Lonchura striata: one gene and its partner. The protein of the gene in region 2 purifies or fractionates together with the protein of the main gene of each other region. This does not show direct contact. Links are inferred from orthologs where the notes say so. Each region holds a gene or a part of one and is shown on either strand. Other genes may lie near its edges.

Region 1 (7,047 bases), on a different chromosome or scaffold from region 2:
TTGCTTGAGCAATGCTGGGATACCCTTGTTGCCCACTGGGGAGATATGATGAGTGCAAATGGGTTTGCACAGTCCTCCCCAGACTGGTTCATGGTGTCTGTGTGTCTGTCTGCAGGAGTTCCCCCTGTTCCCACCTCTGGAGAGCCCAGAGGTGCTGGTCCCCGTGGAGTTTGATGTGGCTCCTGTGATCAAGCCCATCTCTGAGATCCTCACCAGCATCTCCAGGCTCCTGCTAGAGGACCTGCCTGCCTGTGTGGCCCCCAAAGCCCCCAACGCTGCTGACCAAGGTAACCCTCCTGCTCTCAGGGGTACTTTGAAAGGCTCTGAGTCATCCTGAAGATGAGCCTGGCCTGTGCCACTGCTGGGGACACAGCTGTTGGGCACAGGGGTTTAGGATGGGACACACATTTACTGGTCAGCAGATGAAGAGGGATGAGCAGGGTGGCTTCCCTGTGGCCCCTCCTTGCTGGGAATGCTGAACCATGGTGGCACATGCCTGCTCCCAGGTGTGGATACAGTGGAGTTCCTCCTCCTCCTTCTCCTTTTCTTCCCATGAAGCCAGGAAGAAAGAAGTTTTTGGGTGGCATTACTCAAGATGCCTGTTCCCATCCTCCACAGGCCCAGTGCATCCTCAGGAGCTGGTGGTGAAGGCTGTGGACCCTCTCCCCAAGTGCCAGCTCCGAGCTGAGCTTCTGAAAGGTAAGGAGCACAGAGGGCCTGGAGGGACAGCACCTCACTGGGGTCCCCAGCACAAAGAGATGTCACCAAGCCAGGCTCCTTCCTGGGAGGAGGGTGGTTGTGGCTACAGGGACAGGAGCACCATCCCTGGTTCTTCCAATGTGTCTCCCTAAATGCAGAGAAGGGTGGTCTGGGGGCAAGGTGGATGGGCTGGGATGGGAAAGGACCCATTAGGGGGATTAGGAGCACCAGGAATTGCTTTCCCATGGAACTGAGGCTGTCTGGTATTGGATCAGTCACTGCCCTGCATGGCACAGCCCCAGTCCAGAGCCATGCCTGCAGTCATTGCTCTCTGTCCAGGAGTATGGTCTCAGCATTCCTAGCTATAGTCCTTCATGTCCCCTTTCCTCCCCAGGCCAGCCATCCCCTGTTGTTAGGAAATTCCTCTGTGCTCCTCTTCCCACCTCCTCCCTGTTGGGAAGAGGTTTGGGTGATGTTCAGGCCATGTTGGTCATGTCACTCTTGCCAAGGAGTCAATTGCTGCCTGCAGGAATTCCTTCCATCAGGCCCCACAGAACATTCTTAGGGTTATTAATGAGAACCCCCTGTTATTTATGGGCAGCAGGCAGGAGCCCAGCCAGCTGCAAGGCCCAGGTGTTGGGGGAGAAAGGTGAGCTGCTGGTGGCCAGGGAATGCCCACAGCAGGAGCTATCACAGCCCATGCAGAGGAGAGTAATTCCCTGCACTACCATATTTGCTCACTTAACACCTGGTTTTCTCTCCCTCTCCCAACCCACACTGGTACTTTTTCCTCTTAAAATCAAGCACATCCCTGCCAAAATGGCCACAGAGCCACTGTGCTCACAATGTGAACTCACAGCTGTGAGCTGGGTTGTGTAAGAACTGCAAAACATTGTGTTTCAGTGCCTCAAAAGCTATTTCTGGGCTTTTCCATTCTCTTTAGGGCAGGTGTTGCATCCTCCCCACTACCCTTCCCCTCCAAACACCCTGTTCCCTTCCATCTCGGGGGCCAGCCCTACAGAATTTAAACCCCATCACTGCTGGGAGGGCATAAAGGTCTGATGAAGCATTTCAGCCCCATCTGTCCCCTTGCTTCCCCCAGACCACCGCAACCTGACCTTCGACCCCGAGACAGCCAACAAGTACCTGGAGCTGTCCAAAGGTGCCCGCAAAGCCAAGCACAGTCCTGGCACTGTCCCTGGGCAGGGGCAGGGCCCCCGCTTCGAGCCCTGGCAGGTGCTGTGCACGCAGAGCTACGGCCCCGGCCACCACTACTGGGAGGTGAAGATCTCCAGCCACTCTGTCATCCTGGGGGTCACCTACCGGGGGCTCCCCCAGGAGCAGCAGCAGGGCCACAGCTTCAACATCGGGCTGGATGGGGGCTCGTGGGGGCTGCAGGTGAGGGAGGATTGTTACCTGGCCTGGCACAAGGGCCACGCCCAGAAAATCCAGGAGCAGCTCTATAAGAACCTGGGGGTCAGCCTGGATTATGGCAAGGGGCTCCTCTCCTTCTACGGCCTCGGGGAGAGGACAAAACTCATCCACTCCTTCCACAGTGTCTTCACAGAGCCCCTGTACCCTGTGTTTTGGCTGTGTGAGGGGCGAGTGGTGACGCTGTGCTAGAGGCACTGAGCCAGAGCCATAGCAAAGCTGGCAGGTCCAGGCTGGTGCCAAAGTGGAGCTGCAGCTGAGGCTGTCCTGGTGCAGTGGGACCTCAGTGCTCAGGCAGGTGTGGAGTGCAGTGTTTTAACAAGAGCTGATGGGGACAGACATGTAAATTAACCTGTTTGATTTGCATATGCAAATATCACACTAGTGACATATAGCGGGGCTGGAGCTCACCATGGGTGCCTGTCCCTGCAGACAGAGCAAGGAAATAAGGGATAAGGAGGGTGAAAAAAAATGAGATTTTCCTCTTCTATCCCTGCCAAACTCCCAAACCTGGGGAAGGGAGGTACTGCTGCCATGGGGTGCTCTGAAACAATTTGGAGGGACCTCTGTGCTCACACAGCCTCACATGCAGGTAGGTCCTGCTCCCCCCAGCCCCTTCTTGGTTTTCTCTTGCTGTTTTCAGACCTGGCAGAGCAACTTCTCAGGGTTCTACACTGCAGGTCTTTGTACAATGCTGCTTTTCCCAATAAAGCTTTATTTTCTTACTGCTTTGACCTTGCTGCTGTTGGGAGATGTGGGACCCTGCAGCAGTGGGGGTGGGGGGGAGCTGACTACCACAGCCATCCCTGCAGGGCCCCATCCTGCCCCTCTGTGTCCCCATGGGTCCTATGAGTGACCAGCAGAGCCAGAAGGTGCTTTATTTACTGTAGCACTGTGATAAGGAAACCTGGTTTCCTACTGCTCTGCTCCAAGGTTGATTTGGCAGGGAGGAAAGTCCAAAGTTTTCATTGATGTTTTTCCAAGAGTGAGACTGCAGGTCCAACGTCTCCTCCCGCTTCTGTGGGAGTGCTGGTGAGGATTAACAGGGTGAAACTGGGCACTGGGTTCAAAAGTGCTGGGGGTATGAATACCTGGGGAATGAATCACATCATTGTTAAGTTTGGGGACAAAAAGCTTAAAAGGTTCAATCCCCTTCATCAAGAACATATTTTATTTGTCTTGTGCTTCCTGCTTCACTCAACACATCCCTGCTCTCGCAGCCCTGTCCTTGGGTGAGGCCTTGGGCCAGCATCCACCTGGGAACTTCTCCAACTCCAAAAATTGTCTGTGTATCCTGCACAGAAGGGGTCCAGAGATCTCACAAGGCAGATCTTCACTCTAAAAGCACTTTGGGGTCTCCCAGCCCTCTCTGGTGCCTGCCAGTTTCTGCCAGACCCCAGGGGAGAAGGGGACAGTGACTGAGCCAGGACCTGGGCACTGCAGCCCTTTTTGGCCATGGGGAGGGCTGATGTAGGTCCACGGACACGAGGGCTGGCAGGAAAGCACCTGCACCTGTGCACTGGGGGGGCTCAGGACCTTTCTTGTGGCCAGGTGGTGGGGAGCAGTGGAGCAGCAGCAGGTCCTAGAGAGGGAAGGAATGCTCAAGGGGAGCAGCAGGTCCTAGAGAGGGGGACTGGAATGGGCTGGCACAGCTTCCCCGGATGAGAGCAGATGCCATTTGGGGTGAGACCCTTTCCAGGACGCCGCGGTGGATGCTGTGGATCAGCGCTCCGAGCGCGCAGCAGCCCCGCAGGCACCGCGGCGAGCGGAGCCCGGCTGCGGTCGCGGGGAGGCGGAGCGGGCGGGCGGGGCGCGGCTGCCGCCCGCCCCCGCCGGGGCTGGGACCGGGGCCGGGGCCGGTCGGGGCGTTCAGGGATGGATGCTGCGCCCGGGAGCGCCCCGTCGTCCTCCGCCGCGGCGTTGCGGCTGGCGCTGGCGGCTCCGGGGCTGCCGGAGGGTCCGCTCGGCTGCCCCATCTGCCTGGACGTGCTGCGGGACCCGGTGACGGTGCCGTGCGGACACAACTTCTGCCAGGGCTGCTTGCAGGAGCTCCGCCAGCGGCCAGGCCCCCCCGACGGCGGCGGGGCGGGCGGGGCCGCCCGCTGCCCGCTGTGCCAGGAGCCCGTCCCCGCGGCCCTGCGGCTCTGCAAGAACCGCGCCCTGTGCGAGCTCCTGCCGCTGCTGGCGGCCGCCACCGGCGGCTCGTCCCCGTCGCCCTCGGCCGCCGCGTCTCCGACATCCCCGATGGCGCCGGGAGCCGAGGAGGAGGATGCTGCGGGCGAGGAAGGAGCGGTGGTGCTGTGCGATGTGTGCCCGCCGGAGTCCCGCGTGGCGGCCGAGCGGTCGTGCCTGGTGTGCCTGGCGTCCTTCTGCGGGGCGCACCTGGAGCCGCACCGGCGCGCCCCGGCTTTCCGCGCACACCGGCTGGTGGCCCCGCTGCGCCGGCTGGAGGAGGGGCTGTGCCCCCGCCACCTGCAGCCCCTCGACGGCTTCTGCCGCACCGAGCAGAGCTGTGTCTGCGCCCGCTGCCGCACCCACGAGCATCGCGCCCACGACGTGGTGCCCCTCGAGCAGGAGCGGGAGCACAAGCAGGTGCGCGGGGTGGCGAGGGGCGCGGAGGTGCCCACGCGGGTGCTGCGGGTGGGACGCTGGTGTGGGGGTGTCGTGGGTGCCATCCTGCACCCAGGTCCTCACGGGGAGCCCTGTCCCCACGTGGGGTGTGTGCAGGTGCAGCCCTGGTGGGATGCCATGTGGCGGGGGGGTGTTGTGCTCTCACCCCTCGGGGGATTCCACCCCAATATATGGACAGGGCGCTGCGCCATCAGGGAACCCCTGGGATTGGGGCAGGATGGGCAGGTGGGGATGGGTATCGGGGCAGGGGCGCTGCCAGGCATCCCGTGGGGAGTCTTCCCGCTGCGGAGCCGGACTGGCAATCCCGTGGGCGTAGGGCTGGGGCGAGGCTGCCTGGGACACCCCACAGCGGCCACCCCCGCGCTCCTGGGGCGGCCGCCGTCCCCGTCTCGTTCCCACAGCTCCGTCGGGCGCTTTTTCTGCCCGCGCTGGCAGCCGGCCCGGCCGCCGCTCCCGCTCCCCCAGCCTTTTGTATCCTGCCGTCTTGGCAGCGGGGGTTTTTCCATCACTCCCATTCCCAGATGTGACTGAGTCACCTCCTAAACTCACGCCCACGAGCCTTCCCAGGAGCCGGGGCTCCAGTCCCAACGTGGTGCCGCCTTCCTGGGCACTGCCGCCTTGAAAGTGTGGGGCCTCTGTGGGGCTGCAGGCAGATGGGAACCTGTGGAGCTCACGGTGTGGTGGCATCTCGCATGGCCATGAGGCATTTGGAGACCTTGGGAAAGTTTGCCTTTTCCAAGGAGGAGCCCAGCCCCAAGCAGCAGCCCCAAGCCAGCTCCCCCTCCTGACGGGCTGCAAAGATTGCAGGAAAACCCTTTTATCAGCACTATTAGTCATGAGGTGCCTTAAAATAGAAAGCGTGTGTAATCCCAGCCCCGAGGAGCTGTCAGACCTCGGCAGGCGCTGCTCAATGTCTCCTGCAGGACCTCTGTGACTGCCCCCGGCCACCGCTGCGGGCTGGGATGGGTGTCCAGGGAAAGCACCTGTAGCTGCTCCCCGGGAACAAGCGCTGCAGGGACCACGGCCGGGGGTTGAGCATCAGCAGGGAGCTGTCGTGGCTGGGGAGTGCCCTCCTGGCTCCCGAGGGACCCGTCCTCGTGATGGGCAATGGCTGAGCCAACAATAGCATCTCAGGAAACGCCGTGTTCCGAAGGTGCTTCCTTTGCAGCCCGCGCTGCGGAGCTGGTTTGCTTTGCTCCTAAACAGAAACCTCATGGGGACTCTGTGCTGAGTGTCTGGGTGCTCCAGGTTTGCCTTTCAGCTTCTGCACCAAACCCAGGTGGATTTTTCCCAGCCCTGGATACTTGCTAAGAGCACTGCTTAGCTGCAATCACTGCCTGATGGGTTTGCTTTCCAATTCCTGTTTTGTTTGGTTTCCGCTGGGGCCAGGGTGGGGAATATGGAGCTGGACATGACCCTTTCGTTTCCCAGCTGAGTGAGAAGGGATGTTTGCAGGTTGGATGTTGCAGGGAAGGAAAACAGGACAACAACTCATGGTTCCCCTTGCATCCTTCACCTGAATAGCAAGGTCTCTGTCAGAGAGGGTCTGTGGATTAAGCTTAAGGAGAGGCTGAATGCCCTGTGGCTCCCGTTGGGACTGGGGGTAAAGCTCAGTGTTTGTCCTTCATGTCTGCAGGCCCAACAAGCCAAATTCCTCAGCGATGCAGAGAATGAGCTGCAGGAGCTGGCAGTCACCATCACCCAGGCCAAGAAGATGGTGGAGCTCATTAAGGTGACTCTGCAGTGCCTTAGCTCTGGTAGTGCAGCTCTGCTGGGCTGGGGGTGGAGGAGAAGGGGCTGTGAGATTTTGGGGTGCGTGGGGTGTAAAGATGGTGCTCACAGGAGCACCATGAATTATGTGATCCTGGCAGAGATCCCTGAGGATTCTTTCTCCTCATCTCTGCTAACACTCCTGGCATCTCTGGTTGCTTTCATTTTTAACATGGAAGAAGGAACAGGGCAAGGGCCGTGCCAGGACATCCTCTGGCTCTTGCACCTTGTCTCCCCAGGCTCATGGGGGGGTTGTCCCCTTTGGCCCTTGTGCAAACACATCACTTTCCTGCTTGGGGACACCAAATGTGGTGCAGCAGGAAGTGGCAGTGTCCAGCCAGGTCTCTTGGCAGCTGCACTGTGAAGTGATCTGAGTTCTTGGGTGAAGAGGGTGATGGAGTGTCAGGGGGATTCCACGGAGCTGAGAACTGGGTGCTGGGCAGGGCACCTCCTGCACCCTCACCTTGGGACCTGACCCCTCTCTCCCCGCACTCAGGGTGCTGCCACAAAGGAGAG
Region 2 (7,029 bases):
CTGAGCACTACTGAGAGTTCTGTTGCTCATGTATAATTTAGGCAGAAGATGGCCTTCTCTGTCAACGATGGGTCAACATACCTTTCAAGTAGGCACACGTTCCTACAGCGTTTCCTTCTTGGAAATGAACATTTCATTTCAAGCCCCAGGTAATATCAGATACAGAAAAAAGCTCACATATATATGTATTTGGTCACTGGATCCATGTGGATTCTTTTAACCCCACTCTAGTCCTTGCTGAACTTCACTTTCCACCCCTCTGTACTCATGTCTAAACATAAAGGTATTTACATGTCTGAAAGGAACTGGAAAGCAACTGTGATATTTCCCAGAGGATTTTAAAGCTCTTCTCACAGAAAACCAACAGATCATTATGTCACAGTGGCACTTCAATAAAAGGGACACCTCAGGAAGGGCCTCTGACATGGTTATGATTAGCAGATTCGTCACTTTCACTACCTCACTTGTAAAAGAAAGACTGGAACAGAAATATTTTCAGTCAGTATTATCCTTCCCTGGAATCAGTTATGTCTGTAGGCCTTATAAGATGTGCCATCAATAGGATGGTCTTTGGATAAATATGCACTGCTGGAAGTACCTAAAACTGATGGGTCTTTGAAATCGTGTGTGTATCTGCTGTTCCTTGGCAGGTTCTAAATCCACAAATTCATGAGTGGCTTATTGTGATTCATATGCCACTTTCATTTTTGGCAGGTAATGCTAATGGTATTGGAGAATGACTATTTGAATGAGATCTGCACCCACTTCCCTCAAATCAGGACTCTAAAAATGCTCAGAAAGGAGCTGTCAGCATAAATAAAAAAATAATTTAAAAAGAATGTATACTTATTCTGTATAGGCTTTCAGCTGCACAATTCCAGACATCAGAGATGAGCAGGATGAACAGGACTTTCTATAGTTCCTTTCTAAGCATTATAGCATCTATAGCTCCTTTCTGAGCATGTAGAAGGCTGGGCAAGGAAACATTTAGGGCGGGAATTGAGGAAGAGGAAATATCTACATGTCAGTAATAGGAAAGTTATATTGTACATCTGGCTTTTAGGCATGCTTTGATGACATGCCACAGCTAAAGAGCAGGCAGTATATGTGTTGCTTCAGTGACATGAATGACACAACTTGGTAAAACTCACTGCTTAATGACATAAATTGTAACTCTCAAACACAGTATATGGTTGTCCCATATGTATTTCGGTGTTTAGACTCATATTAGGTATTTTGATACTGAAAGCACTGAAGGAGCATTATGCTGAAAACCAGTGCACACTAGGTAAGCAAGAGCACCTTATCTATACTAATGCTGGACTTCCCATCATAGTTTGTTGTTTTGTAACAATACCATAACATTTAGCTAATATTGTTTACAGTAGCCCAATGACAAGCAATTCTATTCCCATTACTGCAAACAGTCTGGTATTAAATATTTGTTTCCAAAGTAAACTGCCTGATGTAGCTGAAAAGTATTACCACACTTTTTTTAAAAAAAGCTGAATAAACCTTACCTGTTAAAAACAAAATGTGACCTAAAAAAAAGTGTGTGTGTTTTGACTAATATACAAAGTTGATGAAAAATAAGGTTTATGCTACATTTCTATTTTAAAGAAGGATTTTCAATAGTGCACTTGAGGATCTTTAAAAGGGATCTTGGTCTAAATTCAGTTACAGTTCTGGATCTGGTCTTAAATCCATGTGTAGCCTCAGGCAAATGCGTTAATTTTCCTGTTTCAGTTTCCCTGCCTTTAAAGTGGGGATAACGTGACTAACCCAAATAGCTTAGCTGCAATTTGTAGCAATGAGTAACTTGATTATTAGATTTCTGAGACATGAAACATGATTATTATTAGGGCTTACTGACCAGCCAGTCAGAAATGTGATACAAATAAAGGAGATGGGTCTTTGACAGTAGAAGGATGTAGGTTAGTCAGTCAGTCAGTCAGAGTAGCTCTGCAAGGAGGCAACTCCAGGGAGTGGAGAGTTGGACCTATAAAAGAGAGAATGTCCCCTTTGTACTGATCTCCTGTTTATTACCCCATGGTATCAAAAGATAATAAAAAGCTAAGTCCTCTCTGAGAAATGAAGACATCCAAAGCACTACAACAAATCAGCTGCAGGCAAATAAATTTTTATCTGTGTAAGTGAGCTCGATGTTATTTTCTAGTGGAAATGTTAGAATTTATTAAAGACCTAGGATTTTTATTTAAAATGAGAAAGTAGGGGATGATATGTTTTAAATAGAGAAAAAGTCAGAGGACTGTTAACATGGAGATAAAAGGGTGAATTAATTTCTGGTGTTGTTGCAGTAATTTGGTATTCAACATATTGAGTCCAAATTCGCACCATTGCACCTAGTATAAATAGTAGTGACTTTTAATAACTGTGACAAAAATACTCTCCCCACTGGCAAGGTCAATATTATTAATTGCTATTCCTATTATTAACCTTTGGGCTTGTGTATCCTCCATGGATTAATGATTATTCAATAACTGAGCTACAAGGTTAACTTACTAATAGCAATTAATAGAATGACATACTGCTGGCTAACTAGGAAAAGCAATGACGAATCAACTTCTTGGCCTTGGTCTTGTTTGATGGAAAGGTGCCTATGGGAATTGTACCTGTCAGTTCCCACAGCTGAAAGACAAAAATCTGCCTCAAAGTTGAGACAAATAAAAAACGGAGATTGGGCTGACATCCGGGTCCCCTCTCTTGTCAGTCTCCTTGGGAATAAGAAACAGCCTCAGCTTTCAGGGAAACATGCGTTCAGTGGTCATTCTCCAGTAGCTCCACTTCCAATCCTACATCAGTGAAGAGGGGAAAGAAGGTCTTAAAAACAAAAAAAGGAGAGAAAAGTACTTCCCCTAGGAGAAGTTTCATGAATAAAGGCAATTCTCTAACAGCGTTACAGAGCACGTGGTGCCAGGTGAAACACCAGGCAGGCGTAGCACAGTGATGCGGGACTCGGCCCCGCTCCCGGCCCGACGGGGCAGCGGGACTGCCGGCAGGCAGAGGCCTCCGGGGGATGCCTGCCCGCACCCGGGCATCCCCAGCCCGCGGAGACCGCCAGCGCGCTAGCGGAGCTTCTCCATCAGCCACCTCAAATCGCGGGTAGCCGCGGAGCGCTGCCTGCCCGAAAGAGGCTGCCGCCGGGGCTCTGCGAGTAGCGGCGGGGGGCGGCCAGAGGGCGCGGGGACAGCTGTGGAAATAAAGGAGCGGGGGAAGGATGGAGAAGGGGGAAGAAGGGGGCGGGGGCGCGGTGCCGGGGAAGGCAATGCGGGGACGGTGGAGGGTTTCGACCCGAGTTCCGGGGAGAAGGGGGACGCGGCAGGCACGAGTAAACGCACACCACCATCCCCCGGCACTTGCACCAAGTCAGCCCCACCGCCCCCCGGGGCCGGGAGCCGCCGGAGGGAAGGAGCCGCCGCGCACACACACAGACACACGCCACCGCTGCGCTCCAGCCGCCGCTCGGTTCTCCCCCCCTCCCACCGCCGCCGCGCAGGCAGGAGGCAGCGGGCGCGGAACAGAGCGGGCGGCGCAGGGCTCGGAGACCCCGGCCCCAGTCGGACCGGCCCCCAGCGGCCGCGCTGCCCCGACGGCACCGCCGCCCCCTCCCCGGGGGCAGCGCGCACCTCCCCGCCTGGAGGGGCCGTACGAGGCAGCAGGCGGGGGGACCGCGGGCACACACACACACACAGCTCACACACATATACACACACACGCGCAGGCACACCCGCACAGACACGCGCAGGCAGAGGCAGGGCTGCCCCACGCCGGTACCTTGCTGCCCTGGTGTTTTCCGTCCGGGCTCCTCCTTGCTGAGGCAGCTCGGGAGCGGAGCCGAGCGGGCGGGTGCGTGTGCGTGTGTGTGTGTGCGTGCGTGCATGCGTGTGCCTCTGTGTATGTGTGTGTGTGTGTGTGTGTGCGCGCGTGTGTATGCGAGAGCGAGCGAGCGAGAGAGACTCTCCCCCCTCCCCCTCCTCCTCCTCGCTCTCCTTCCTTTAAACGCCCACTCCTGATGGGTGAAAAGACAACTTGAACTTCAGTGCAATTAACTTCGCCGGCGCCTCGGAAGCCGGAGGTGTCGCCGGCCTCGCCCGCCGCGCTCCCATGAGTGAGTTGGTCCCGCTCCTTCGGCGTCTCTCCTCGGGGACGGGGGGGACAGAGCCGTGCCGGGGGCAGCCGCCGCGGCGATTTACCCGGCTGTGCCGGCCCGGGAGGGCGGGCGGGCGGGAGGCGCGGGGCGGGTGGCCGCGCCGGGCGCTGCCGCTGCCGGAGCCTCCCGGCCGGCGCGGGCTCACACCTGCCGCCGCGCCGCTGCCGGTCGGCGGCCCCGCTCCGCTCCGCTCCCTTGCCCGCTGCCGCCTCACCCGCCGCTGGCACGGGGGGGAGCGGGGGGAAGCGGGGGTGGGGGCAGAGGGAAAAACCCCCAGAAGTTTGGCAAAGTTCTTACCCAGCTTCGCGCGCCTCCCGGCAGCGGCGGGCGCGGGGCGGCGGCGCCCCCGACGGCGCGGGGCGAAGCGGCGGGGCCGGGGGTCGCGGGCGGGGGGCGGGGGGGTCGCGGGGTGGCGCTTCCGCAGGGCGCGGGGGTTGCGCGGGCGGCCGAGCGGCCGCGGCTGCCCCAGCCGGGGGCGCGCCCGTGGCGGCGGGTGGCAAGTCCCCCCCGCCCGCCCGCGGCACGACCCGGGGCTGCCGCTGTCGCGGGGAGCAGCGCCAGCAGCTCGTCTGTGTGCTCCAGGATTTACTTTTGATTTTTCTACTCCGTCTCCGAACCCGCCACCCGAGGTTTTGCTAAATCCTCGCCCCTTTGTCGCCGTCTCCGCCGGCTGCCGGGGGGAGCGCTCCTGACAGGCACCTGCCCGACCCGGAGTTTCCCTCTGCCAGTCTCCAGCTTTTTCTGACTGCGGGAGAAACTTCGCTACAATCTAAGTTTTCTGAAACACTTTGCACCAGCTCCTAAGCTGAAATGAGTTTAAACTGAGAAAAGCTCTCCTCTGGTTTTAGTCCGTGCAAGTGAGCGCAGCGATTCTGTGAAAATAATTCACAAATTCAGATGCAGAGACGTGTGATCTGGAGGTGCCCTTTCATTCTGGTCCGTGCTGCTTGGGTGGGAGTTAGTAGCAGCCCCTTATTTCTACTTTATATTATTTTGGTACAGCGCATTCATATATTTGTCTGCTGTAGTCTGCTGGCAAACATTAGCATTCAAGCTTACATTTTTGACAAATGTGCAGACAGGAATAGCATGAATAGGCATCTTAAATATTAACAACCTAAGCATCTGTTATGAAACAAATTTAATATATTTACTCTGTTTTTCTCACATTGTTAGGAAAGGTTACAATAAGTGTAAAATTTCAGCTGTAGTTAGCACAAGGAATGCTTGGATATTTCACTATCAAGCATTTAACACAATCACCAGATAGAAATGTGTCAAATCAGGCGCACTATTCAAAAACAACTCGAAACTGTATGCGTAGAGTGTATAGACATGAATATAGCATGTTCTCTGTAATTTCTATCTTCTAATTACTTTTCAGCAGTATTTGTAGAATTTGAGAATGCTCTTTCCAGTCCCGTACTCCTATATGCTCTTTAATATGTTTATACATATACACACACTAATTTTCTAATTCACTTTCTATTTGAGATCGTTATGGATATTACCTTGCTTTTCAAGTTGAAGCAATGGTTTTGCAAGGAAATGTGAAATAACGTAGAGTAGGTAAAAAAATGAGCAGGCAGAAAATGCAACGTGTTCACATATAAGCATGCGTCAGAACAGATAGCGCACACACATAATAAGGCAATAGAAGAGAAATTAAAATCCTTGGCTAGTATGCTATGTATGCCCACTCTTCAGTACAGCTAGTGGAAAAGAAACAACTGACTCCAAGGAATTCCTCTGTCCCTGCAATAAAACTGTTCAGAGTAGAACAAGAGCACAGAAAAGCAAAGCCTCCAAAAAGGCTGTAGAGTTATTTCAGGAATCAGTGCATTCCTTCCCTTTTTCCCACAAGTTCAAATATGTAATAAATAAGTCCTTTGTATGCAAAATAGTTTACTGGAACAAAAAGATACTTAAATGAAATGCTTTTTGTGCATGAATTTTGAAAAACTGGCCATTTCCTTTTTATATTCTTTGTTCTTGATACTTTAAATAGCAAAGTAACTCTCGCAGTTTCCCCTCTCATGCTATTTTAGCGACTCGTGTGAATCCTAACCTGCTGCTGTGCTCCCGAGAAAGCAGTGTGAAGCAGAGTCGCTCTGTAACTCACTGATGGGACACGGTGCTTTGGCAGTATCAGGAGCAGAGAGAGCCTGCCATGCCAGCCCCAGCTTGTACACGAGCAGGGCACCTCTTTGGTTTGCAGCGTAGGCCCAGCGGGTGAGAGGATGAGCACCTGCCCTCTGTGGCTGTGCTTCCCAAGGCAGCATCAGCCCTGCCTGCAGCCCTGCCAGCATCCCACAGGCACCAGCCACCACGTTCAGCCCTGCTGGGGACGTGGGCACATCCACCCCTGCAGCACGAAAACCTCTTTAGAGAGGTTTCTCTAAAGAAAATGTTTCTCACACATTACAGGTTTGGGATAGAGAGGGTTTTACATGTGTGAAACTGCCATTTAGAAGATAATCAGATGAAGTCTGGTGATCTTGTTAAAAAAAAAAGACCAACAAAAAACTCACCAAATCTTTTAAACGTATCAACTACTTGGTTTTTCAAAGTACTGTTACCTTTTTAATGTCACCTATTTTTTTAGTCTAAATATTGTCAGAGGAATTTGAAGTAATTCCGTAGGTTTCCAGCTGTATTTGAAATAAAAAGAAAATTAAGAAGATTACTTTATTAATAAAATAGTTCATAATATATAGAAAAATACATTAAAGTAGATTTCTGAATTAAAACTGGAGGAAATATGACTTCTGAAATGTTTTAGTCATATTTCTAGGAACTATGGTATTTTAACATAGACTCTAGTGAAGCATTTTATTGCTTTCTTGTATATAACTGCC

What was found.
Region 1: the proteins of SATB1 (region 2) and TRIM47 purify together in Homo sapiens (affinity purification with mass spectrometry; 4 studies listed by BioGRID and IntAct, with this or other methods). This does not show direct contact. The link is inferred for Lonchura striata from reciprocal best matches to the Homo sapiens genes SATB1 and TRIM47.

The regions. Positions count from the first base shown.
Region 1 is NC_134621.1:4,377,718-4,384,764, forward strand, and holds the start of TRIM47 (E3 ubiquitin-protein ligase TRIM47), read left to right. Parts: upstream 1-4,005; coding exon 4,006-4,722; intron 4,723-6,397; coding exon 6,398-6,493; intron 6,494-7,027; coding exon 7,028-7,047. Other genes in the region: E3 ubiquitin-protein ligase TRIM65, read left to right, coding at 116-287, 619-699, 1,802-2,322. UniProt on the Homo sapiens protein: E3 ubiquitin-protein ligase that mediates the ubiquitination and proteasomal degradation of CYLD.
Region 2 is NC_134603.1:120,688,773-120,695,801, forward strand, and holds the start of SATB1 (DNA-binding protein SATB1), read left to right. Parts: upstream 1-4,022; 5' UTR 4,023-4,129; intron 4,130-7,029. UniProt on the Homo sapiens protein: Crucial silencing factor contributing to the initiation of X inactivation mediated by Xist RNA that occurs during embryogenesis and in lymphoma.